3 linked regions of the Alligator mississippiensis genome follow. The protein of the gene in region 2 interacts with the protein of the main gene of each other region in a pairwise test. Links are inferred from orthologs where the notes say so. Each region holds a gene or a part of one and is shown on either strand. Other genes may lie near its edges.

Evidence for each region. The genes of interacting proteins can lie anywhere in the genome.
Region 1: the proteins of CNKSR1 (region 2) and CYTH4 interact in binary tests that used the Homo sapiens proteins (3 or more experiments, as listed by UniProt). The two-hybrid records come from large-scale screens. The link is inferred for Alligator mississippiensis from reciprocal best matches to the Homo sapiens genes CNKSR1 and CYTH4.
Region 3: the proteins of CNKSR1 (region 2) and CYTH3 interact in binary tests that used the Homo sapiens proteins (3 or more experiments, as listed by UniProt). The two-hybrid records come from large-scale screens. The link is inferred for Alligator mississippiensis from reciprocal best matches to the Homo sapiens genes CNKSR1 and CYTH3.

The regions. Positions count from the first base shown.
Region 1 is NC_081827.1:100,459,844-100,467,827, forward strand, and holds the start of CYTH4 (cytohesin-4), read right to left. Parts: upstream 3,022-7,984; 5' UTR 2,360-3,021; coding exon 2,341-2,359; intron 1-2,340. UniProt on the Homo sapiens protein: Promotes guanine-nucleotide exchange on ARF1 and ARF5. Promotes the activation of ARF factors through replacement of GDP with GTP.
Region 2 is NC_081829.1:3,230,084-3,237,571, forward strand, and holds the start of CNKSR1 (connector enhancer of kinase suppressor of ras 1), read right to left. Parts: upstream 3,076-7,488; 5' UTR 3,025-3,075; coding exon 2,973-3,024; intron 1-2,972. UniProt on the Homo sapiens protein: May function as an adapter protein or regulator of Ras signaling pathways.
Region 3 is NC_081836.1:46,925,450-46,932,936, forward strand, and holds the start of CYTH3 (cytohesin-3), read left to right. Parts: upstream 1-4,466; 5' UTR 4,467-4,540; coding exon 4,541-4,568; intron 4,569-7,487. UniProt on the Homo sapiens protein: Promotes guanine-nucleotide exchange on ARF1 and ARF6. Promotes the activation of ARF factors through replacement of GDP with GTP. Plays a role in the epithelial polarization.

The DNA.
Region 1 (7,984 bases), on a different chromosome or scaffold from region 2:
TGACTCTCCCTCACCTAACGGAACCAACGTCTCCATCTGCATACAGTTCTCTTGTATAGCAGCACACCCAGTGTAAGTCCACAGCACAGGTGAATGTGTCTACCTTTCCACCTCAGCCATGGACTCTGATGGAAGCTGAGGCCCACTGGTGGCAGAACAATTTCTCCAAAAACTACGGATCAGCAAGCTTTTATCACTGAATGAGCCACCAAATCAATGTAATCTCTTGATCCCTAGACAATGCCTCTGACACAGAGAGTGAGGCTGGCTTTTGAAGTGGTGCTGGCTAGCTGTGGTCCTGGGGTAGCTAGGCATTTTTGCACTGCTTCAAAGTAGGTCTTCTGCAACTGGTCCATCATCTCGTTCTGTGTTTGTACAGCGCCTAACATCACAGGATACTGGGGCACCACTCCAGGACAAATCCCAAATGGTAAAAAGAACTCATTCTGTCTATTCACAAAAGTAGGACAACTTCCCTTACATGGCAGACAATGCATTTGGAGAGCCACGTTTTCCTTGAACAACTAACCTGAAAAAAATATGTCCCTGCTTTGTACAGAGAGGTGAGGGCTCTCCCTGCCCTGGTTTTGCTAGTCTATGAGCTGGTTGCAACACTTCCTTTCAGGCACTAAGGGCCTGATTTTCCTAAGAACTCTAGTCCCCTTTAGACAGCTAAAGGAAGTGGCCAGAGACTGAGAAGCGCTCAGTGCCCAGCCTCTCTTGCAACAGCTTGAGAGAACTTCAAGGAAATCGGGCCCCTTGGTGCAGGATTTGACGTGGGGACCAGAGGGTTTTCAGCTCCCACTCCTTGTTCATGGCCTTAGCTATGCCATCTATGTGGATGTGAGGTGATATCAGAGACAGATGGCAGCTGTGTCCTTGTGTTAAGATCCTTTGTATTTTTCCCCCTGGAGAAAGTGTGTCCTCTCCCTTGAAACCTCATGTCCTTTCTCAGCATGGGTCACACCCAATATCTGCCTTTTGGGATTGCCTCCAGAGCACCTTTGTCTACTAGATCCCAGGTCTGCTGCACTGCACCCAGCAAACCAGGAAATCAAAGAGTTTTGATCTTTCTCAGCCCCTGGGTTTGTGGCTAATTTCCTCCCACCTACTTCTGCCTCTCTATACCCCTCTAAAACAACTGCTGCAAGGAAAGCGAGAGATTCAGGCTGATCAATCTTTCTTCTTCTCTTGGGGTGGGGGTGGGGGCAGGTGGAAAAGTATTTAGCTGTGCTATCCTAAAGTCAGGTAGAGGCAGGGCAGGGTGGCACTTCAGGTTGGTGTTTCTCAACCAGAGCACTGCAATATACTTTTAAGGGTGTCCTGCAGTGCCATGTAATATTAGCACTGTTAGGTGTGCAAAAACCTTCACAGGATGAGCAGAGAGATTTTAAAATAGGAATCCATAGTGTCACAGATATTTTGACCTATTGTGGTTTTCCTGAGTTCTTTGCAACAGAAGAATTGCTCTATTATTTTTCTGTAGTTAAAAAACAAGTGAAAGCTCAAAGCTGGCATTTTCTGAGGGGTCCTTGAATCTAAAAAGGTTCAGAACCACTGTCCTAGAGAGTGACTGGTTCAAAGAAGCACAAGCATTTGTCAGCAACAGACTGCTTCATCAGGTGCTAACAACCCTCCTCTCTGGGGGGCTGATTTATTATTACTGTGCCCCAGGTAGTCACTTGCAATGCACAGTCGGTGCAGATTTGCACCACATGAAGACACTGGTAATTTACAGCCACTGTCCACTGGTCTGATCCTGGTAGAAATGACTATGCTGGGTGCAGTGCAAGGGTGAATCAGCCCTGCCTGGTGCAGGAGGACTATGTTGTAGCATTTGCAGTCTGCTCTTTCTGCACCTCTATTCCTGTCACGCTGAGGCTACATCAAAGGAAACCATTGTCTGTAGTCACATGTTGACCACCATCCCAAGTGCCACGTACTCCTGATACCCTAGCTTGGGCCAGGAAAATTGCACTCTACCCTTTTGCCACCTACCTAGGCTGAGGGTCAGCCTCTGAATACAGTTCTGACCCAGCTCCAATTCAAGTCGGTAGGGTGACACTGGTTGACGTCAGGGAGGAACTGTCTGGAGGTAGGGGGGGAAGCCAATACCTCGACAGAGAAGACACCTCTCCCTATAGCACATCGTCCACAAAACTACAAGCCCTTTGCAGAGCTTCTAAGAAACCTCTTGGCTATGTTCACCCGTCCCATCCCCATGGCAGCTGCTAGCCCTAATTGAGTCAATCTGACCTGACAGCATTTACAGAATGAGCAGCACTTTGATCAACAAGGCAGGGAGAAGATGTGGCCAAATCTCTTTAAGGAAAGACTTACCAATGGGACAAACATCCATGCTGAAATGTCACTCAGAGGCAAATTCTCTTTGTGCGACTGCGAGTTCCTCTTTCCCCGCTGCTCTTTCAGGCGTCTGGCAGAATTAATGCGACTTCACCCCAGAGTCTAAAATTGTGTCAGCTGGAGGAGCTGCGGCTCCACCCCCTGGTTCCTCCCCACAAGCTCATATGGGTGAGGGAAACTACAAGCTCCGACTGTTAGAAGCACGCAGACTCCGGTTACTTCTTACATAAAAACCCACAAGAGAAAGCCAGTGTGTCTTTCCATTGGCACTCGCTCAGCTCATTGCTGGGGGTGACTGTGCTCTGGTTTTATCCAGCCTGCTCTAGAGACAGAGGGAGCATAAAACAGCTGCCTTAGGGTGTGGTTTTATGATGGAGAAAGACTCCCCCCCTACCACAACTCAAAGTAGCTCAGCAATTGGTAGAGAGTGGATGAATATTCCAATATTTGTGTGGGCCTCCAGTAGGTTCCTGTTGCCAATGAAATGACATGACCTGGATCCTTTACTCCCATCTCAAATGCGTTCTCTTCTGACTAGCATCATCAGGAAGGAGTGGATCGAGCCTAGAGTTGTCCCAGTATGGAGGGAGTGTCCCAGTATGGAGGGAGCTGGCACTGACCTGACCCGAGCTATGTCTGCTCTGATGAAAAATAGAGGGCTTTAGCTGGCAGAGCAGTCAGTCTCTCTGTCACTTACTCTCTTCCTCTCTCTCCAGCCCCGGAAGGCTGCACACTTCCCCTTAAGCTAATCACTCTTGGTTGCTATGTCCGTGGTCTTTTGTACGTGACAGCCCTCATAACTTCTGCAGGAGGGGCCTTCATGCCCACACAGAAAGCTCAGCAGCTGGCGTGCACACCTTGAGATCCCCCTTTCCAAATCAGCAGGGCAAAGAATCAGCACAGACTAAGAAAAATCTAGCACATGAGGAGTATGGCTGTCTGGGCACAAAGCTTTCCCCTTGTCCAAATTACAGCTGCAAATGTTGAGAGGATGCCACTTTTCCATGCCCAATGGGCATGGGCCTGGCAAGACTCCCACTGCTTTGACAATGCAGCAGCACCCTGCTCTGTATCATTCTGGGCCATTCCAGTTTAGCCTCCCAACACCGTCAACAACACAGCAAGATGGTATAACCACCGCCTCTAAACCTAACACTGGCCTGGCATCCTGCCAAGAATCAAACACTCTATGATTGTGAGTGACTGGCATCCTGAAGACCATAGCCAGGCAGCCCTAGGGAAGACTGTGAATAGCTTGTGGTCTTTAGGATGAATCAGCAACCAGTCTTCACCCTTCAGATTCCATAGTCAAGGTTGTCTTGCAAGGAAGATGGCTACAAATTTCCTTTCGGAGGGGGGTGAAAAACGTTGTCCAGTGTAAGCTACCATTTATAGGTCCCTCAGGTGAGAGGAGATCCAACAGAACAACCCTGCAGGGGACCCATATAGATCAAGCAATGCACTGATCAGTCTTGACCTCCTGATTTCTCCATCAATCCAGTCATATAGAGAGCTCTGCTGACAGACCTCATTTATACCGACTGAATCCCTCACTCTCCAAACCTGTATCTCACACATTTCCCTGTCTTTGTCCTGGTGTACAGCTTACTGTTCCAGTACCGTGATCCCAACACAGCTCTACTGAAGAATTCACTGCTCACTTTCAGGAAACCATACCACGCCACCCCAGGACTGGATACCCCACCCTGATGCATTTCAATTGTGGCATGTAGCACCCATTGTTATTCCAGTCTTGACATATTGGCCAATAGGGCTGTGTGAAGCAGAAACATTTCATCTTGACCAATGTTTTGACAGAACAGTGTTTCATTTTGACTTTTATTTTGAGTTGAAATGGCAGTTCCATTTCGTTCCGTCGAAACGTTTTGCTGTTTTGACCCTGTTTCGATGTTTCGCCCATAGGATATAATGGGGAAGGTTGAAACAGGCTACAATTTTGTGATTTCTGGCCAGATTTGGATGAAACTTGCAAGAATAGTAGTATCTTCTGAGGGCATGACGCATGCTAAGTTTCAAGAAGATAGGTACATGGGGTTCAGAGAAAATGCACCCCAAAATCCTGAAAGTAAAACTTGTGTCATGTGTATGTGTTAAGACACAGCGGGGTCAAAACTGCAGGCTTGCTAGCCCCTTCTGAGACTACAGAGCCTGCTAAGTTTTAAGAAGATTGGTGCAGGGCTTTGGGGAAAACTGCACCCCAAATTCTTGAAAGGAAAGCTCATGTCACATGTATGTGTTAAGCCACAGTGGAGTCAAAACTGTAGGGGTGGTAGCCCCTGGTAAGGCCACAAATCCTGCCAAGTTTCAAGGTGATAGGTGCAGGGGCTTGGGGGAAACTGCACCTCAAGCTGCTGACAGGCAAAACTCGTGATATAGATAACCCTATGTGTGTTAAGGCACAGCGGGCTGAAAACTGCAGGGGTGGTGGCCCCTGCTCAGGCCACAGAACATGGCAGATTTCAAGAAGATAAGTCAGAGGTGGGCAAAATGTGGCCTGGGGTCCGGATGCAGCCCGCCAGGCCATTCTATCTGGCCTGCAGGGCCCCTAAAAAATTTAGAAAATTAATATTAATCTGCCCTGAGCTGCCTGTCATATAGCCCTTGATGGCTTGCCAAAACTCAGTAAGTGGCCCTCTGCCCAAAATAATTGCCCACCCCTGTGATAAGTGCAGGGCTTTAGGGAAAACTGCACCTCAAGCTGTGGATAAGCAAAACTCGTGACATGGGTGCTTGTGCACCTGTGTCTGTCTTCGGGCACTGGAGGGTGGGGGAGGGACTACTGCAGGCCTGGCTGCTAAGCTACTGTGTTACCAGTTACCAATTAATCATGATTCACTCAGGGACTAGCTCAATACACAGGACCTAGCTACTACATAACAACTTAACAAGCATGGATTAACACCTACAAAACCACAGACTAAGGAGAGGAAATAATCAATACATACAATCAACGGCCCCAAGACAGACTCAGTCAGTTGCACAAGCACCCATTTCACAAGTTTTGCCTGTCAGCAGCTAGAGGTGCAGGGCCCCAGAAACCCCCTGCACTGATTTCCTTGACAGCTGGCAGGTGTCGTGGCTGCAGCAGGGGCTACCACCCCTGCAGCTTTCACCCTGCTGTGCCCTAACACACACAGTGTCACCCATGTCACGAGTTTTGCTTGTCTGCAGCTTTGAGTTACAGCTTCCCCCAAACCCCTGCACTTATCTCCTTGAAACTTGGCAGGCTTTGTGGCCTCAGCAGGGGCTAGCAAGCCTGCAGTTTTGACCCTGCTGTGGCTTAACATATACATGTGACATGAGTTTTGCTTTCAGGATTTAGGGGTGCAGTTTCTCTGAACCCCCTGCACCTATCTCCTTGAAACACAGCAGGCTTTCTGGCCTCAGCAGGGGCTAGCATTCCTGTAGTTTTGACCCTCCTGTGGCTTAACACATACAGAGGACACATTTGGCTCAGGATTTTGGGGTGCAGTTTCTCCAATCTCCCTGCACCTATCTTCTTGAAACTTGGAACTCTTTATGCCCTCAGAAGAAGCTACCATTTCTGCAAGTTTTATCCAAATCTGGCTAGACATGGCAAAACTATAGGCTGTTTTGACCTTCCCCATTATAGCCTATGGGCGAAACGTTGAAACAGCATCGAAACAGCAAAACGTTTTGACTTGCCTCATTTCATTTCAAAGCTGTTTTGGCCGTATCTGTTTCATTTTGATGTTGCTGTTTCAACCTCAAAACAGGTCGAAACAGAGTCAAAACAAAACTGGTGGCAAAATTTCGCACTGCCTTATTGGCCAATACACCTCACTCTGGCTCTACAGCACCTTCTGCTACGCACTCCTGGCTCCTGACCCAACCCAAAAGAGCAGGTGCGCTCACTAATCACCACGTCCCTTCTATACAGGCATAGCAATAGTAAACAACTGTCAATCCTTCTAAACCATGGTGTACGCATGAGATGTCATCAGGACCTTTGATGCATACACCTAGGCAGGAGTATGGAGAAGTCGAAGCTGTCTAGACCTTCCATCCCCCTTTAGACAGTATCCAAAGGCCAGACCAAATCTGGAACCTCAATGACTGTAGTTACATGCACATCTGGGAAACCAAACCCAGGTCTCCTGCATGACAGAACAAGGGTTTTACCACTGAACCACAACAGCAGGTTATATGGACATAAATTTTAACAAAAATATATAAAAAGGGACATTGACCACTACCTACAAGGGGAGAAATTCTATGTATGTTCTACTATTCCAGGCTTAAGCTCTAAGATAGAAGATCATCTGTTTTGTGGAACCATGTGGTGTCTTTATAATGCAGCTAGACGTCTAGCACATACTAGCGAGTGTGGCACTGGAAATTGTGTCCTTATGTGGTTTGGCATCCAAGACAGGAAGTTTGGGGAGGGGGTGTAGGAGCCTATTTTTTATAAGGCAGCTGCAGCTGAGACCACAAACAAAGCTGATGCCACAACCTGCTTTGTCTCAGAGTGATGCCTGAACACCACATGGCACCAAAAGGGAAAAAATACGTTGATAATATATATATTATTGGTCCCAAATTGCTGATAGTCTTTGGAAATGTGGAAGGCCCCTGGAAGAAGTTCAAACAGCACGTTACTCTGCCCCAGAAGCAGTGGATGACTGTAAAGGGGAAGACTTATTTTTGGCAACGGTCCTTGATGTGCTTAATAGTTTTCAATTAACTCAGGCAGAGACCTAACTATGAAACTGGAGTGCAGAAATTTGAGGATTACTGTACTCCAAGTAAAAAAGAAACATACTAACAATGTGGCTTTTATCAGAGAGGACAACAGGAATGTGAAACTGTAGTGGGGTAATCTGAGGCCAAAGTTGTTGCAATTTTTGCAGGGATAACTACATTGGGATTTTGAACAAAAAAAAAAAAAAAATCAGAAAGGGATTCCTGGAAGGCCCACAATGAACTCCTAGCAAAGAGCTTAAGGTTGCCAGGAATGGGAATCACCTTGTCCAGAATGAGGCGTGCAGAGTGTGGACAGTGCAATATGATGGAGATTCCAAAATACCACAAAAAAGAGATGTGAAGCAGAAAAACACAGGGAACTCAAAAGTCAGAGACCAGCATGAACAGCAGCATGAGGAACTGAACATGCTGCAGCAACCTGCTCAAGCCACAGCAATGCTCAGCAAATGGGAGGAGATGGAAAAAATCTGCAACAGGTTACAGCCCTTTTCAAGAGTATGGTAGGCCAGCAAAGAACATGCAGCATGGACAAAAGGAGTGTCCTCTCTAGCTCATATGAATTTCTCACAAGAGTGGTAGATAGGGCTGCAGCACAAGATGAGGGGACTACAAACCTGAAAGCAAACAAGGCACTTATTACCTTTAAATTGGACACTGGTTCACAAGTCAAGGAGTTGTGAGAAACACCGTTAGCAATTCTAAAAAAAGGCACCGATAGGAGGAGATAAACAGATACCACTCAAAGCTTACCGTGGAGAGTTTATTCCCACTTAAGGATTGTGGGAACTAGATGTATGAGTAAATAATAAATTGGAAAAGAAAGGGTTTGTAACAGTACCGTGGAAGAGAGTACTCATTATTGGGTTAAAGTGTG
Region 2 (7,488 bases):
CGCCACAGGTGAAGCAGTGGCATGGCGGCAGCCACGGTCCCACTAAGGGGAATGCCTTACTGGACTGGTACTGGCAACGGGGGACGACATGGTAGGGGACCTACGGATCGGTGGTCACCTGGGGGACAGTGATCACCTAATAATAGAATGCACCATAAGACGTCGAGTGGGTAAGGTAACTAGTAGGGTGAAAGCACTGGACTTTAGGAAAGCTGATCTCAATGAGCTCAGGCGATTAGTCAAGGACGCACTGCAGAGTAGGAGTTTTGAAGAGATGGGAGCCCAGGAAGGGTGGCTGTGCCTTAAGGAAACGATCCTTCAGGCACAAAGGGAGACGATCCCGATGCGAGGAAAAAGAAGGAAAGGGGCCAGGAGGCTTCCTTGGCTGACCAGAGAAATCCAGGGCAGCCTGCGGGCCAAAAGGGGGGCACATAAAAAGTGGAAACAGGGAGAGATCACCAAAGAGGAGTATACCTCCTCTGCTTGTGCTTGTAGGGAGGCAGTTAGATGGGCCAAAGCTACCATGGAGCTGAGGATGGCATCCCAAGTAAAGGATAACAAGAAATTGTTTTTTAGATATATAGGGAGCAAAAGGAAGGCCCAGGGAGGAATAGGACCGCTGCTAAATGGGCAGAAACAATTGGTGACGGACAGGGGGGACAAGGCTGAACTCCTCAACGAGTTCTTTGCCTCAGTGTTCCTAAGCGAGGGACACGACAAGTCTCTCACTGGGGTTGTAGAGAGGCAGCAGCAAGGCGCCAGACTGCCATGCGTAGACCCTGAGATGGTGCAGAGTCACTTGGAGGAACTGGATGCATTTAAGTCGGCAGGCCCGGATGAGCTCCATCCGAGGGTGCTGAAGGCACTGGCCGACATCATTGCAGAGCCACTGGCAGGAATATTTGAACGCTCGTGGCGCACAGGCCAGGTCCCGGAGGACTGGAAAAGGGCCAATGTGGTCCCCATTTTCAAGAAGGGGAGGAAGGAGGACCCGGGCAACTATAGGCCAGTCAGTCTCACCTCCATCCTTCGCAAAGTCTTTGAAAAAATTATCAAGGCTCACATTTGCGAGAGCCCGGCAGGACAAATTATGCTGAGGGGAAACCAGCACGGGTCTGTGGCAGGCAGATCATGCCTGACTAATCTAGTCTCTTTTTAAGACCAGGTTACAAAATGCCTGGACACAGGAGGAGGGGTGGATGTCGTATACTTAGACTTCAGGAAGGCCTTCGATACGGTATCCCACCCCATACTAGTGAACAAGCTAAGAGGCTGTGATGTGGATGACTACACAGTCCGGTGGGTGGCGAATTGGCTGGAGGGTCGCACCCAGAGAGTCGTGGTGGATGGGTCGGTCTCGACCTGGAAGGGTGTGGGCAGTGGGGTCCCACAGGGCTCGGTCCTTGGACCGATACTCTTTAATGTCTTCATCAGCAACTTGGACGTGGGAGTGAAGTGTACTCTGTCCAAGTTTGCGGATGACACAAAACTGTGGGGAGAAGTGGACACGCCGGAGGGCAGGGAACAGCTGCAGGCAGACCTGGACAGGTTGGACATATGGGCGGAAAACAACAGAATGCAGTTCAACAAGGAGAAATGCAAAGTGCTGCACCTAGGGAGGAAAAATGTCCAGCACACCTACAGCCTAGGGAATGACCTGCTGGGTGGCACAGAGGTGGAAAGGGATCTTGGAGTCCTAGTGGACTCCAAGATGAACATGAGTCGTCAGTGTGACGAAGCCATCAGAAAAGCCAATGGCACTTTATCGTGCATCAGCAGATGCATGACGAATAGGTCCAACGAGGTGATACTTCCCCTCTATCGGGCGCTGGTCAGACCGCAGTTCAAGTGCGGTGCCCAGAATTGCACGCAGTACTCCAAGAGGGATGTGGATAACCTGGAGAGGGTCCAGAGAAGGGCCACTCGTATGGTTAAGGGCCTGCAGACCAAGCCCTACGAGGAGAGACTAGAGAACCTGGACCTCTTCAGCCTCCGCAAGAGAAGGTTGAGAGGCGACCTTGTGGCTGCCTATAAGTTCATCACGGGGGCACAGAAGGGAATTGGTGAGTATTTATTCACCAAGGCGCCCCGGGGGTTACAAGAAACAATGGCCACAAGCTAGCAGAGAGCAGATTTAGACTGGACATTAGGAAGAACTTCACAGTTGGAGTGGCCAAGGTCTGGAACAGGCTCCCAAGGGAGGTGGTGCTCTCCCCTACCCTGGGGGTCTTCAAGAGGAGGTTAGACGAGTATCTAGCTGGGGTCATCTAGACCCAGCACTCTTTCCTGCCTATGCAGGGGGTCGGACTCGATGATCTATTGAGGTCCCTTCCGACCCTAGCATCTATGAATCTATGCTATGAAACCATGTCAATAGATACTCAAAAGGTCCCGGGGAGAAGCGGAGGAAGCAAACCCCCCGCTCCAGGCTGTACCCATCTGACCATGGAGGGAATTCCTTCCTGCCCCCAATGCAGCGCTGGTCCGACCCGGAGCGGAGGGGCAAGACCCTCCAGCCAGGACCCTCCAGCTCCGGTCCCAGCAGCCAAAGTCCCCAGCCTGGGCTGCAGCCAACACCCAGCGCCTCCGAAGGAAGCAGAAAACTCCCGGACACACCTAGCAGACAGGGTGCGGGGGAAGCCCAGAAGCCTGGGCAATACCCGCTCAGAGGTGAAGCCAGCCGAGCCCCCCAAGCCCCGGCCGGTCGGCGAACCTGTCCTTTCTTTCCCCCCGGACACGAGCAGGGCGGTGTTAGGCGGCGGGACCCCGGCCCCGCGCCGCCGCGGGGGCAGCGCGCAGCCGGGCGGTGGCACCAGGCTGCCCCGCGGGGCGAGTGCAGCGCACGGACGGGGTCGCCGTGCCCCGGGGCTCCCGCACCCTCGCCCCCACCACCACCGGGGGGCAGGCGCCAGCGGTGCCCCCCGCCCCCCGCTCCTGCCCGGCCCGACCCCTCCCCACCTTGCCGTGCTCACCCCTCAGCCACCGTGCCACCCGCGCCGGGCTCCAGGCGCCCACCGGCTCCATGCCCGGAACAGCCCGGCCCGGCCCGGCCGCGCACCTGAGCCCGCAGGTACCTGGCAGCCGGGCGGGGTTGGCGCAGCCGCCTGCCACTCAGCCGGGAAGCCCGCCCCGGGTGGGGATCGGGATCGGGGCCCTCCCCGGGGAGGCGCTGCGCCCGGGACGGCCCCGCCCGGGGCCCTGAGCCCCCCCCACGCCCCGACACTCCCACCTCTCGGCCTCAGTGTTCCCACCTGTAACATGGGCCGGCCGCGGGTGGCTGGAGACGGCGGGAACGGGCTGGAAGGGAGATCCGGAGGTCATTTCTAGTCCAGTCCTCATCGTCTTCCAAACTGCGTAAGAGGACGGTCACCCTGGTACGACACACCTCGCGCCCACGGTGCCGCAGCGAAGGAGGGGAACCGCGGCAGCCCACGTCCTGCGTCTGCCAACGCTGCCAGTGCACCCCCGCGACATCCTGGGGACAGGCCGTGCCCCCCAGGTACGGGGGCAACCGCCCCAGTCCGTACCCGTCCGACCACGGGGGGACTTTCCTTCTGGACCCCCGGTATAGAGAGCGGCCTGCCCCCGAGCGGACAGGCAAGAGCCCCCAGCCAGGCCCCTGGCACGGCCCGGTGCCCAGAGCAGGTCTGGGTAGACTACCCTGGGCATCGGGGAGATGACGACAAGCCACAAAACCAAACGACTGCCTCCGCGTGGCCTGGCTAGACGCGCCACGGCCTCCCAGGCGCCTGCTTGTAACCTTTGGGCGGAGCAGGAATCAAGGGGGGTGGGGGGTGCAAGTGCACCCCTGGGTCCGCCCGGCACTGGCAGGGAAGGTGGGGGCTGTGAATGCTCAGCGATCCAGAGGCCAGAAGCAAGGGGGTCGGGGGACACCTCCCCCAGGACCAGTGGCACGGCAGGGCTGGGGTGCCACCTCTGCACGGCGCGGCGGGTCGGCAGGAAGGTGTGGTAGAAGCACACGGCGCTATTAATAAGCGCTGCTATGACAGCAGCCAAACACGGTGGCCTGACTCACCCCGTGGCAGCAAACAGGTCTGGGCTGACTTCACGCTGGGAACGGTTTGCCCCGACGTGAAAAGCGGGGCCTGGCATTCGGGAACGCCTCGTTCCTGCAGCCCACGCGCACCTCCCGTCTCATCGGCGCGCAGCCCCAGCCCCGTTGCATCACAGCAGGCCGGGATGTTGTTGTCATCCTCCAGGATTTCCTGGGCATTAGTCAGTGTTTTGGGTGCTGCACATTGCCAGGGTGTCAGCCTCTTGCCTGCCGCCGTGTGAGTCAAGTACCTCCTATGTAAGAGCAGTGATAGGCCACCCAGCTCTTCCACAGCCCTCTGCACTGGTGAAAAGCTGCCTGAAGGCGGACAGGATCCTTATCCCCATTTTAGAGCTGGGAAAACTGAGGCAAGTGAGGGTACTGGAGGGAGCGGTGGTTGGCTTGTGGGCAGGAAGGCTTGCTCAAAGAGTTTCCTGCGGAGGGTCTGCTCTAGCTCTGGAAGACGGGTCCACAGCCGATGCCCGGGGCTGTGAATGCTTTGTGCCCCTCTCTGACCGACACCCCCGGCCCGGCCGGTCACTGCTTCTTGCACCGTCACAAGACCCGGCTGCAAACGCTTTTGATTTCTCCTGGAGAATGGCCTGTGGCTGCTCTCAGGCTCTGAAGCGTGATGGAGCCCCACCAATGTGGTCTGCACCAGAGTACACACACGTGTGCATGCACGCACACAACCAAAACACAGTCACAAACTTTCTCTCCCACTCACACACTCAGAGCATCAAAATACAGTCTCAGTCTCTCACTATCACACACAGAGCACCAAAACACAACCAGAGTCTCCCTCACTATTACACACACACACTACCAAAACACAGCCAAGCTCTCTCCACACACATATGCACACACTTGCGTGCCGTGGTTCCCAGCCAGCCTCTCCCCAGCCTGGCAAGTCTGCCTTCAGGGCCCGGGCTGAGATAAAAGCCCCTGTGGAGGCTGCGCTGCACCCAGAGGATTCGTTTCTGTGCCAGACGCTGGACATGCTCCTGGCTCCAGCCCTTTGCTTCCCTGGGAGCAGGGGCGCCCAGTCCACGGTGCCCCCATTGCATCCCAGGGGAAGCTGCCTTGCAGCACGTGGCTGCCAGCCTTCCCAAGGGGCTGTGACTCGGAGCCGGAGAAGCTGACCCAAAAATTGCTCAGACTCACATGGTCCCTCGGCTCCCCTGGCTGCAGGGTTGGGCTGGACCCGGGGCTCCAGCATGCACTCTGACGCCCGGAGCGGGTCCCTGCCACTGGAAAGGAGTGGTCTCCCCTCGTGCGGGGTCCCTGGGGGCTGCCAGCTCGGGCAAGCGAATGCGGCAGGGAGAACGGGAGACCCGCGGTACCAGCTCGTGTTGACGCCGAGCGGAGCCAGCACTGAGCTCACGCAGCTAAACCGGGTTAAGGCCCGAGCAGCCTGTGACTTTAACCCAGGATAAGCGCGCTCACAGCCCAGGGTAAGCACACCTACCCTCTGCACCAGGACACGCGCTCAACCCCTCCTCTGCCTGGGTGCTGCTGCAATGGGAGTTAGCGAAAGCTGGGAGGGGGCAGGGGGTGCATATTGTCTAGGGCCTGGGTGGCACATCAGGGGCGCAGCTGGACCTGGGCCTGCCCTGGTGATGTGAATTTGGCTGGAGCATCACTGTGTGCCTCAGTTTCCCCTTCTCTGCTTCACCTCCCAGGCAGGCTGGGGATGCAAATCTGCCCACCTGCCAAGTGCTTGGCAGGCCCTGGAAGATGGCTCCGGTCCCTGACAGCAAGGTGCGTGGACGCGGCACTCCCTGGGGGCCAGCACCAGCTGTGACAGGCTCCAGCTGCTGGACTGGCCCCCCCGCCATGGGGCTGAAGGCTGTGCCGCACCTGCCTCTTGTACCATCCCTGCCTGCCTCATGCTCTAGCCATTGTCCCCCAGGAAGACAACAAGGGCCATTGTTCCCATTTTGCAGATGAGGAAGTGGAGGCTCAAGGCAGCCACGTCATTTGCTCCACATCCCACGACAGACCCAGCCTCCTGGAGGCTCAGCCCAGTGCTTGAGCCACAGCATCCTCCCAGGAGGGCATCTTTCCCACAATGCAGCAGGGGAGGCCTTCCCCTGTTGGTACAGTCGTCCTGGTTTCTCCGGATCCCCATCCTTTAACCCAGCGACTCTCAGGCAGGGCAGGCTGCAGCACCCTGGGGTGCCTTGAGACCCTTTCAAGCGGGGCTGACATCAGCACGGTTGGGCGTGCATACATGATTCGTGCAATATACGTAGAGATTTCACATGGGAACCTGTAGCGTTTAAAACGTCCTTCCCTGCCACGGGCTTGCCGAGTTCTTTGCAATGGAAGAATCGCGGCTAATTTGTCTGCAGTCAACAAATGAGCAAGAGCCAAGAGTTGGCATTTTCTGGGGGGAACCCGGAGTCAGCAGAACCCCTGCTTTAACCCAACCACTCGCTCATGCCCGGTGCCCTGCCCTGAGGCCCGGGCCTTCTGCAGAAGAGACTGGAAGTGACCCCAGACCAACATACCCAGAGCCCCACCCGTTACAACGCCCCTTGCCCTGCAGATGCACCCCTCCCGCGTCTCCCATGCGCTTGATGGAGCAGCGAGCGCTGATCTCCTGTGACAGCTGCTCCCGGGGCTGGCCGCAGTCGGGATCGGCATGGGGGTGGCGCATGTGCATGCGTGCAGAGGGAAGGCGGATATTTAACAGCTCCCAGCACAGCTGCCTGGGCGCCCTGGCACTCCTGCCGCCTGGCACGCAGGGAGCAGGGTCCAGTATTACAGGTGAGCGATATATCCGTTCCGGCCTGTTTCCCTGAGGGGGAGGAATTGCAGCCCCCTGGCCACAAGCAGCAGGGAATGGAGATGGGGCGGGGGATTGGGCTCCCCACACGCCCAGCTTAAAAACAGCCGTTAGCCATGGCCTGCGGTGGAAGGGACGGTGTCGGGGCTGGCGGGGGCACCCAAGCACGCAGGGCTGGGTCCCACAAGCACCCGTAGAGCTGATGTTTGAGCCAGGGACAGGGGGAAGTAGCTGCTGCCGGCCGACATCTGGGTGCTGTCAGCGGGCCCAGACCGTGCTCTGCCCCTGCGGCACCAGCCCAGCCCACCTGGTCTTTCAGTGCTGGCCGTCTCCCTATCGCTGCCAGGAAGCCAGTGGGAGCAGAGGCCCAGCCTGCGTATGCCGAGCTGTGATCATGCGGCTCCGACTCTTAACCCCAGCGTACTTCCGCCTGCTCCAGGTAATACTTGTGTCTCCCCTCACCCCATGATCTCAACCCCAGGGCTACCAGCCCCGCTGCTAGGGCATCCCTCACCCCAGCTCACCCTGAGGTCTCACGGCTCCAGGGAGGCCTCTTTGCTCACGGTCCCCTGGCCCCACTGCAGCCAGAACTGGAACCATTCCTTCATCGCATGGATCAAGGGGACTTGGGCTTGGTCACGTC
Region 3 (7,487 bases), on a different chromosome or scaffold from region 2:
GATATGCCAATGGTCCTGCTGGGATTTAGAAAAGGTGGAGGTTCTTGGCTAAGGTCTTGCTCCTCCACTCAGGGTCAGTCCAGCTGCTATATTTGGGATCAGGGAGGAATTCCCCCCCTATCCCCATGGTCATATCAGCATAGACTGATTTCCTCTGTAGCGGGGGACATGGTCTTCTTCTTTGAATCCATCAAACTTGTTTTAACAAACTGCTTCCTGTCCTTGCAGTGCCAGGCACTGGTGATGTGTAGGGGGTGCAGGAGTGCCGTGAGTGTGGCAGTGCACCCCTTGCAAAAAGGCACTGCCGACACTGCCAGCAGCATCTGCGGGCGGTGGCCACTCGCCACTGCCCCCCTGCTGCTGACACCGCCTGCAGGTGGTCTGTGATGGGCACTGGCTGCCACTGCTGGCAGTGTCTGCAGGTGGTTGCTAACCACTGGTCGGCAGTCACCAGCCCTCTCCCTTGCCACCGACAGCACCACAGCCGCCTGTGGAAGCTCCCCACTTGCTGCTGCCATGGTCCTGCTGCCACCTGCAGGAGCTTGTTGTGCCTCCCCAGCCTCCAGGGGCACGCAGCGTTCATGGTGCCAGAGCATTAATAGAGACCTCATTCCCCTGCTTTACCAGTAGCAAGTTACTATGTGTTTGGTTTTTTTTTTTAAATGCCCAATGTTTTTGGGCATTGTGGTTGGTAGTTGTGCAAGAAGGTTGTTTATGCAGTTTTAGGGATAGGTTAGACAAACACTTGTATAGGTTTAGATGGGAATGATCCTACCTTTAGGAGAGGGTAGGACTAGATCAGGGGTTGCCAACCTGTGGCACAAGTGCCAAAAATGGCACAGGCAGCCTGTATGTGTGACATGCAGCAGATCAGAGAGGGGACAGCCAGCACAGCAGCAGATAGGGCAGGGAGCATAAGGCAAAACAGGAGATCAGGCAGGAACCACAGGACAGGAAGCAGAAAGTAGAGCAGCAAATTGAACAGAGGAAGGGGATTGGAGAGGCACGTGGGGAAGGGTGTAGGGCTAATTTGTGTTATGCCTGCTAAAATAGTTGACCCCCACTGAACTAGATGACTTCTTGAAGTCCAAGTTCTCTATGATTCTATGGTATAAATGGTGCATGTGTCGCATATTAGCTCTCTAACTGGGAGTATCACATCAAGTAACATCTGGCCTGTAATGGAAAAAATATTAGATGGCAAATTACTACTTAATGAAAATTGTTAAGCAAAATAGCGGTGATAAATGAACAAAAAAGACAAAATTGAACCAAACCTAAAAAAGAAAGTAAGACAAACTGGATTGCCTCAAACCCAACAAATACCTGTCTGTCAACAATTAATAGGACTAACTGTGCCAACTTCAAAGTTCCTGGAAGATTTTTAGCTGTCCTAAAGATTAAGGCAATTCAATAAAAGATATTTTTTTACACTGAATAGCAGGTTCTGAAATTCTAAGAGCATAACATATAATATGTCTGAATCCAAAATTAATTAAATATGAAAATGTGAGAAAAATGAGACATAACTTGATAGAGGAAAGTATAAAGAACACGCAGCCTTTAGAAAGCTGATTTAAAACAACAATACAGTGTAAAGGGAAACAGTGCACCTGGGAAATCAGGGTCCAAAATATAATACTCACCAGGGCTCCAGAAGAGAAACCTGATCCTGTTCTATTTGCAGAATAATTAATTTTGAATATAAAGTGGATATTAAAGAGGCACTCATCTCTGTGGGTAAAATGATACAAAGATGAAAATGACAGTTGGAGAAAACAGATTTATAATGGAATAAAAAAAACGGACTAAAAGGTACATTACAGCTGAGCAGTATGAATCCCATTTGACACATATGGAAGGTAAGGTAGAGAAGCAAAGGGTTTGATCTTAATAAATTCTATAAATTCTTACACACACACACACTCTCTCTCTCTCTCTCTCTCTCTCACTACTATGTAAAGATTAACTGGAATAATCCTGTAAGTAGAACCTGAACTGAAGTCAGGGAATTTTATACAGTACAAACTTTGATTTCTAGCCCTAACTAATTGCAAAACATCTCTTTACTGTAGTATCTAAGCACTTCCTAATGGAAAAATATATTTTTCAGTTGCTGTTTGCACCATTGAAGTCAATGGGAGTTTTTCCATTGAATGAGTTGGAGGGAGGACTCTGTTGTGGTTTGATTTTTCTTACATTTTTTTTGCATTGGAGTTTAACTTGGAACAAAAAGGAATAATAATTTTAAGTTCAACTGAAAAAGCACAGAGGAAAAAACTAGTGACAAACAAAAGCAGTAATACAAGATAATGCATCTAGGCAGGCACTGCAATAGAGGTGAAATGAAAAGCCAATAATCTGTGTACAGTCAAATTTTAATTTTGCTCAATTGTATTAAAACCTGATTACTATATTGTTAAATATGCACCTTTTAAACATCTCCTTTCTTCTACTACTGTACTGTGTAATCATGTTATTGTTTCTATGTGGAAGGTAATAAATACATGTAATACAATTTAATTAAGAAAATAAAATAAGAGGACTATTTTAAAGGGTGGATGAGATTTACATGATTTCTCACAGAGCAAAAAAGTTTCCTGTGCAGAGGTTACTTGAGCCAAACACTAGGGACAGGTACAGACATTACACTTGAACAGCATAAGTCATGAGAAACGGGTCTATACCTGTAACAGAACAGAAATTCGGCACATATAGATGGATTAAAAATGGCAGAACCAGATCTATGATTTGCCAATCCCACCAAAGGGCAAACATGTTCTGTTTGCTACCAATCTAAACTACGCTGCTTACAGAAAACTGCGTAATTTAGACCAATTCCACCTTGGACTTTTTTGAACCTAGCCTGAGTCTCAGCAAAACTGATTATACCATAATTACCACCTCTAAGCAGTGGTGTTACAAGGTGGGTGGCACTGATACAACTTCCTGTGCTCTAACCTGACCAACACCAGGTCATGTTAATGTAAGTTAATTTTCCTATATTATAGGAAATAATTTATTATAGAAGATAATTATAGTGGCACACACCTCATATTGTAGGAAAATTAAATAATGCATATTCCTCATTGCTGACCCCTTCCTTCCCACACCTTCTTCTCTGTATAAAATATTGACATCAAATGATTAAGAGTAAAATAACAAAAGAGACTTTATTCTATTCTCTATTGTGTGGATGCTTCTGTTCACCGGTGTGGGTTTGGATACTGTCACCCCAGCTCCTTCAAAAGGTCTGAGGTCCTGAAAGCAGCACTATGGGCCTGACAAATCCCATAAAAAGGATTCTGAGGTGAGCATGTCACATGCGCAGTACAGACAACCCTCACTTAGCGCTCTTACTTGGTTCCTGAAAAACTGAGCATCAAATGAAACGAGTGTTAAGTATTTGACTACCCAAGACGGAGACCACAATTGTTTTTAATGACCTAAGATGGTGACCACGAGCATTATGACGAAACTTGCAGAGCGCTAAGTGAAATCAGGTATCAATTTAAAATGAGCGTTATAATGAAATAGCATTAAGTGAAACAGCGTTAAATGGGGGTTGCCTGTATGTAAACTTACTATGAAAAACGCGTCTCCCTGACACTCTTGGGTGCTCGTGGAGAAGCGGATATTTAGCCCCCATACAGTGTTGAACGGGGGGGGGTCTCAGCAAATGTACAAACATGAGGGGGCCACGAAGCAGCCCAGACTGACCGCAGTGGTTTCAGGGGGCTGCAGAAAGGACCTGCAGCCTTGAACAATGCGTGCCCCCGAGGCCTGGGGGGGACACAGCGACCAGCTACCGGCGGTGGCAGCGGTGTTGGCAGTGGAGCACTCTCACAGGCGGTCATGGTGGTGTCAGCGGTGGGGAAGGTGGTGAGAGCTGACCAGCGATCGAGGACCTCCCACAGACGCCACCCGCAGCGTGGATGGCGAGGGGTGCGAGGTGTCGGCCCACGACCGCAGGGGGTGCGCTGCCAGTCTCAGGGGGTGCACGTGCACCTGCGGCGCCAATGCCTGCAGCTATGGCTCGCGGCCCGCTGCACTGCCAACCCAGTTGCCCGTTTTCCCAGTTGGGTCGGTGGCGAGCGATAAAACCCTGGGAAGAACCGGCAAGGGGCGCGCTACCCAGCGCAGGCCCCGTCCCCTGGCAAGTGGCCCCCCAGCCCCTGCTCTGCAGCCGCCCTGCCCGCAGGCCCGCTGCCCCACAGCCCCGCTGCCCCTCGCGGCCCCTCGGCTCGTGTGCGCAGCCAAGGCCGGGCGCTGCCTCCGCGGCTCGGGGCCGGGCGCCAGTGTGCGGACGCGGCGCCACACGGCACTGTTTGCCCGGGGCTGCCACAACGCGGCGCGGCTCGGCGCGGCGAGGGTGCCCGTGTCCCGCGCGTCTCGGGCCGCCCGGCGGCGCCAGGAGCGGCGGCTCGGTCCCTCCCCGCGCGGTCACATGAGGGCGGGGGCGGATCGCGGGGCGGCGGCTGGGGCTGGGGTTGTCGCTGGCGGCGGGCGGCGGACGGCGCCGAGGGACGCAGCGCCCGGCATGGACGAGGAGGGCGGCGGAGGAGGCGGTGAGTGGCGGGGCCGGGCCGGTGCGCAGGCCGCGGGCAGGGGCCGGGGCCCTCGCCTCGCCTCGCCGCTGCCACCGCCTGCCCCGAGCCCAGCCTGCCCGTGTGCCTCCCCTGCGCACGGTCTCCCTCAGCCGCCGCCCCGGCTCCCCTCACGCGTCTCCCCGCGTGGCTGTGGGCACGAAGCGGCCAAGCGCTGTGGGAGGAGACGCGTGGCAGCGGGGTCCCGGGTGGCGGCTCCTGCCATCGCGGGTGCGGGGGCGGCTGGGCCGGGGACGGCTGGAGGCTCTTGGCCCCCTTGACTCCCTCGCCCCCCACAAAGGTCAGGCATTTCTGAGGGAGGGGGGAAAAACGAAGCCACATTTGCTCAGGGAAGTGCTGGGAAAGAAAAGTGCTGGTGTTGCAAAGAGCCTGAAGAAAGGAAGAGAGGCAGCCTGTGTCGGGTACGAGCGGAGGGACAGAAGCAGTCGGTGTGTTTGTCTACAGATGGCCGAGCGGTGCAGTCGACTTGCCCCCGCGGTGTCACGCTGACAGCCGGGCGCTTGTTCTCACAATGAAACCCTTGCGCTTTCTCTAGGTATCTGCTGCTCCCGGCAAAAACGATGTGTACCTTGCAGCAAATGTACAGTCAAGAGGATAATTATGTTCTGCAACAGCTTCGTGTTTGTGTGTGTCATCCTAGTGTAGAAGCGATGGTAATCACTGAGTGGTTCTTCCAGTTTAAACAGGGTAGATGATTTCAAGACACAGTACGCTGGTGTTTCCAAATACACCTTTTAGAAAATAGTGACATAGGTTTTGCAGCATCCTTTAATACAGCTACTGCCTTTCAAGGCTTAAGACTGTGCATCAACACAATTTAAGAAACCTCAAACCAGATTTGCAGAGTTTCTATTTAATTTCAGTGCATTCTGTGTATTTAGCTTTTGTCTGAATTGTCAAATCTTGAATATCAGCAGCAATAAAGATGCTACCTAGGTGTAGTCCAGATCGGTGGTGGTATTCCAAGATGAAGTAGTTCAGTTTAGTTAGAACTCTTGATTAACAACCATCATCTGGTAGGAATGAATGTTTTTGTTTCTTTATAAATATGTGAAGCAGTAGTTAAAAGCAGTATGATTAATACTTCAGCACTGTGGGCATGTCTGCATGAGACATGTTAATGCGCATTAGCCTAAACAGGCATGTATCTACATGTGCATGCCCTTAATGCCCATTAAAAATGGCAAAATTAGGCTAATGCAGGTATCAAATTTAGGTGCTTTTAGTTAAAGCACAGTATGGCACGTATAGACACAACCTGGCACTAACTTTAGTGCCCAGGGCTGCCCAGCCGCTAGGGGCACATGGCAGGGTTGCAGGGACTTGGTGCCAAATGCACCAACTGTAGTGCCTAGTCCTTGCATCTATAGACATGTGCCAAAAATTATTTAATGTGTATTAGCTTAATCTTCATTGAATTTTGTCGCGCTTAAATGCATGTGTAGATGCGCTGTAAAGGTAATAGGATCTGGAATCAAGCGGGTATAGCGAGTGTTTTGATAAGCGGGGAAAAAAATATCTTGATGAATCAGTAGCATCACAGAAAACCATCCTACAAACAGTGTCTGCAAACGTGAATATTCTCATCCATTATTTCTCTTACTTGTTTCGTCAACAATAGATTTAACTTTCCTTAAAAAATGAAAAAGCAAAAAATGCATTAAAAGTGCAGATTGATATTTACTTTGAAAATTTCTAATACCAAACATTCTAATAGTGAACAGCAGAAATAGTAGTAAATAAAATCTTCCTGTTCAAAAAAATTAGTATGCTTATACTATATGATTGAATTTTCACCTGTACTGAGGTTGCATTAATATGCTTATTAATATTGAATATAATTAACTTGATATCTTTCCTTTATTTAAGTTTGTCTCAGCTCAAAAGACATTTCAGTACTGTGGACCAAATGAAAAACTGGTTTCTTAACCCTTGAGTCCAATTCTGTTATATGAAGACAGACCCTTTTTGAGGTTCTGAGCATCCTCATCTCCCACTAAGTCCATTGGCTTTGAAACAGTTAACAGTTTTGTAAAGATTGGGACCTCAAAATGCATGTATTTGTCGCCAAAGCAGTCAAATTCAGTTTTTTCCCCCAGATAACTTGTCACGTCTTTAATAAATAAATAAAAAATCTAGTTGACTATACAGTTACCATCCTTTGGTTGTCTTCATTAGGTTATAGACTAAGTTAACGAAATGGCTGAGGTTTTACAATAAGTTTGTGAACAGTTACATTAGCTTCCTGGGAATATTAAGTAAAAAAAATCACAAGAAAAACAGCATTAGGTCTTTTCTTGCATGATCAATACATTCACTAATACAATATGATAAACTCACTTATTAAAAATAACTCATTTTTGGGAATGACATAGAATGAAAGAAATGGTTTTCTTCTGTCAGTAGAATGCAGGTGAAAAGTAAAGAGTTGTTTTGAAATCTAGTCAGCTTTATGCTGAGTTAACAGTAGTCTTGCCTGGAAGACCCACAAACTGTGTATTAAATTCACAAAGTAAGTGAACTGGAGAGAGTGACTGAATGGTTAGGACATTGGACTGGGATCCAGAAGACACATTTTTGTATGTCACCGGTTTGCTGTGAACTTGGTTCACCTCCTTTTCCTTGTGTTCCTTATCTGTACAGTGGAGGTAGCTCTGCTTATGTCCTTAAAGCATTTTGTAAAATGCTTTAAGATCTGTGGATAAAAGGTTAGAAGTTATTATTTTAAGGAGATTTGATGGAGGAGCAGATGCTAATTCAGGACATGCTCGTTATTTGTTATTATTATTTTTTCTCCATGTAGTTTAAATGTGGGTAAAAAGGTCTATATTATACTTTCTGGTTTCATACAAAACTATTTTGGTGCTTTGATTTGATTTC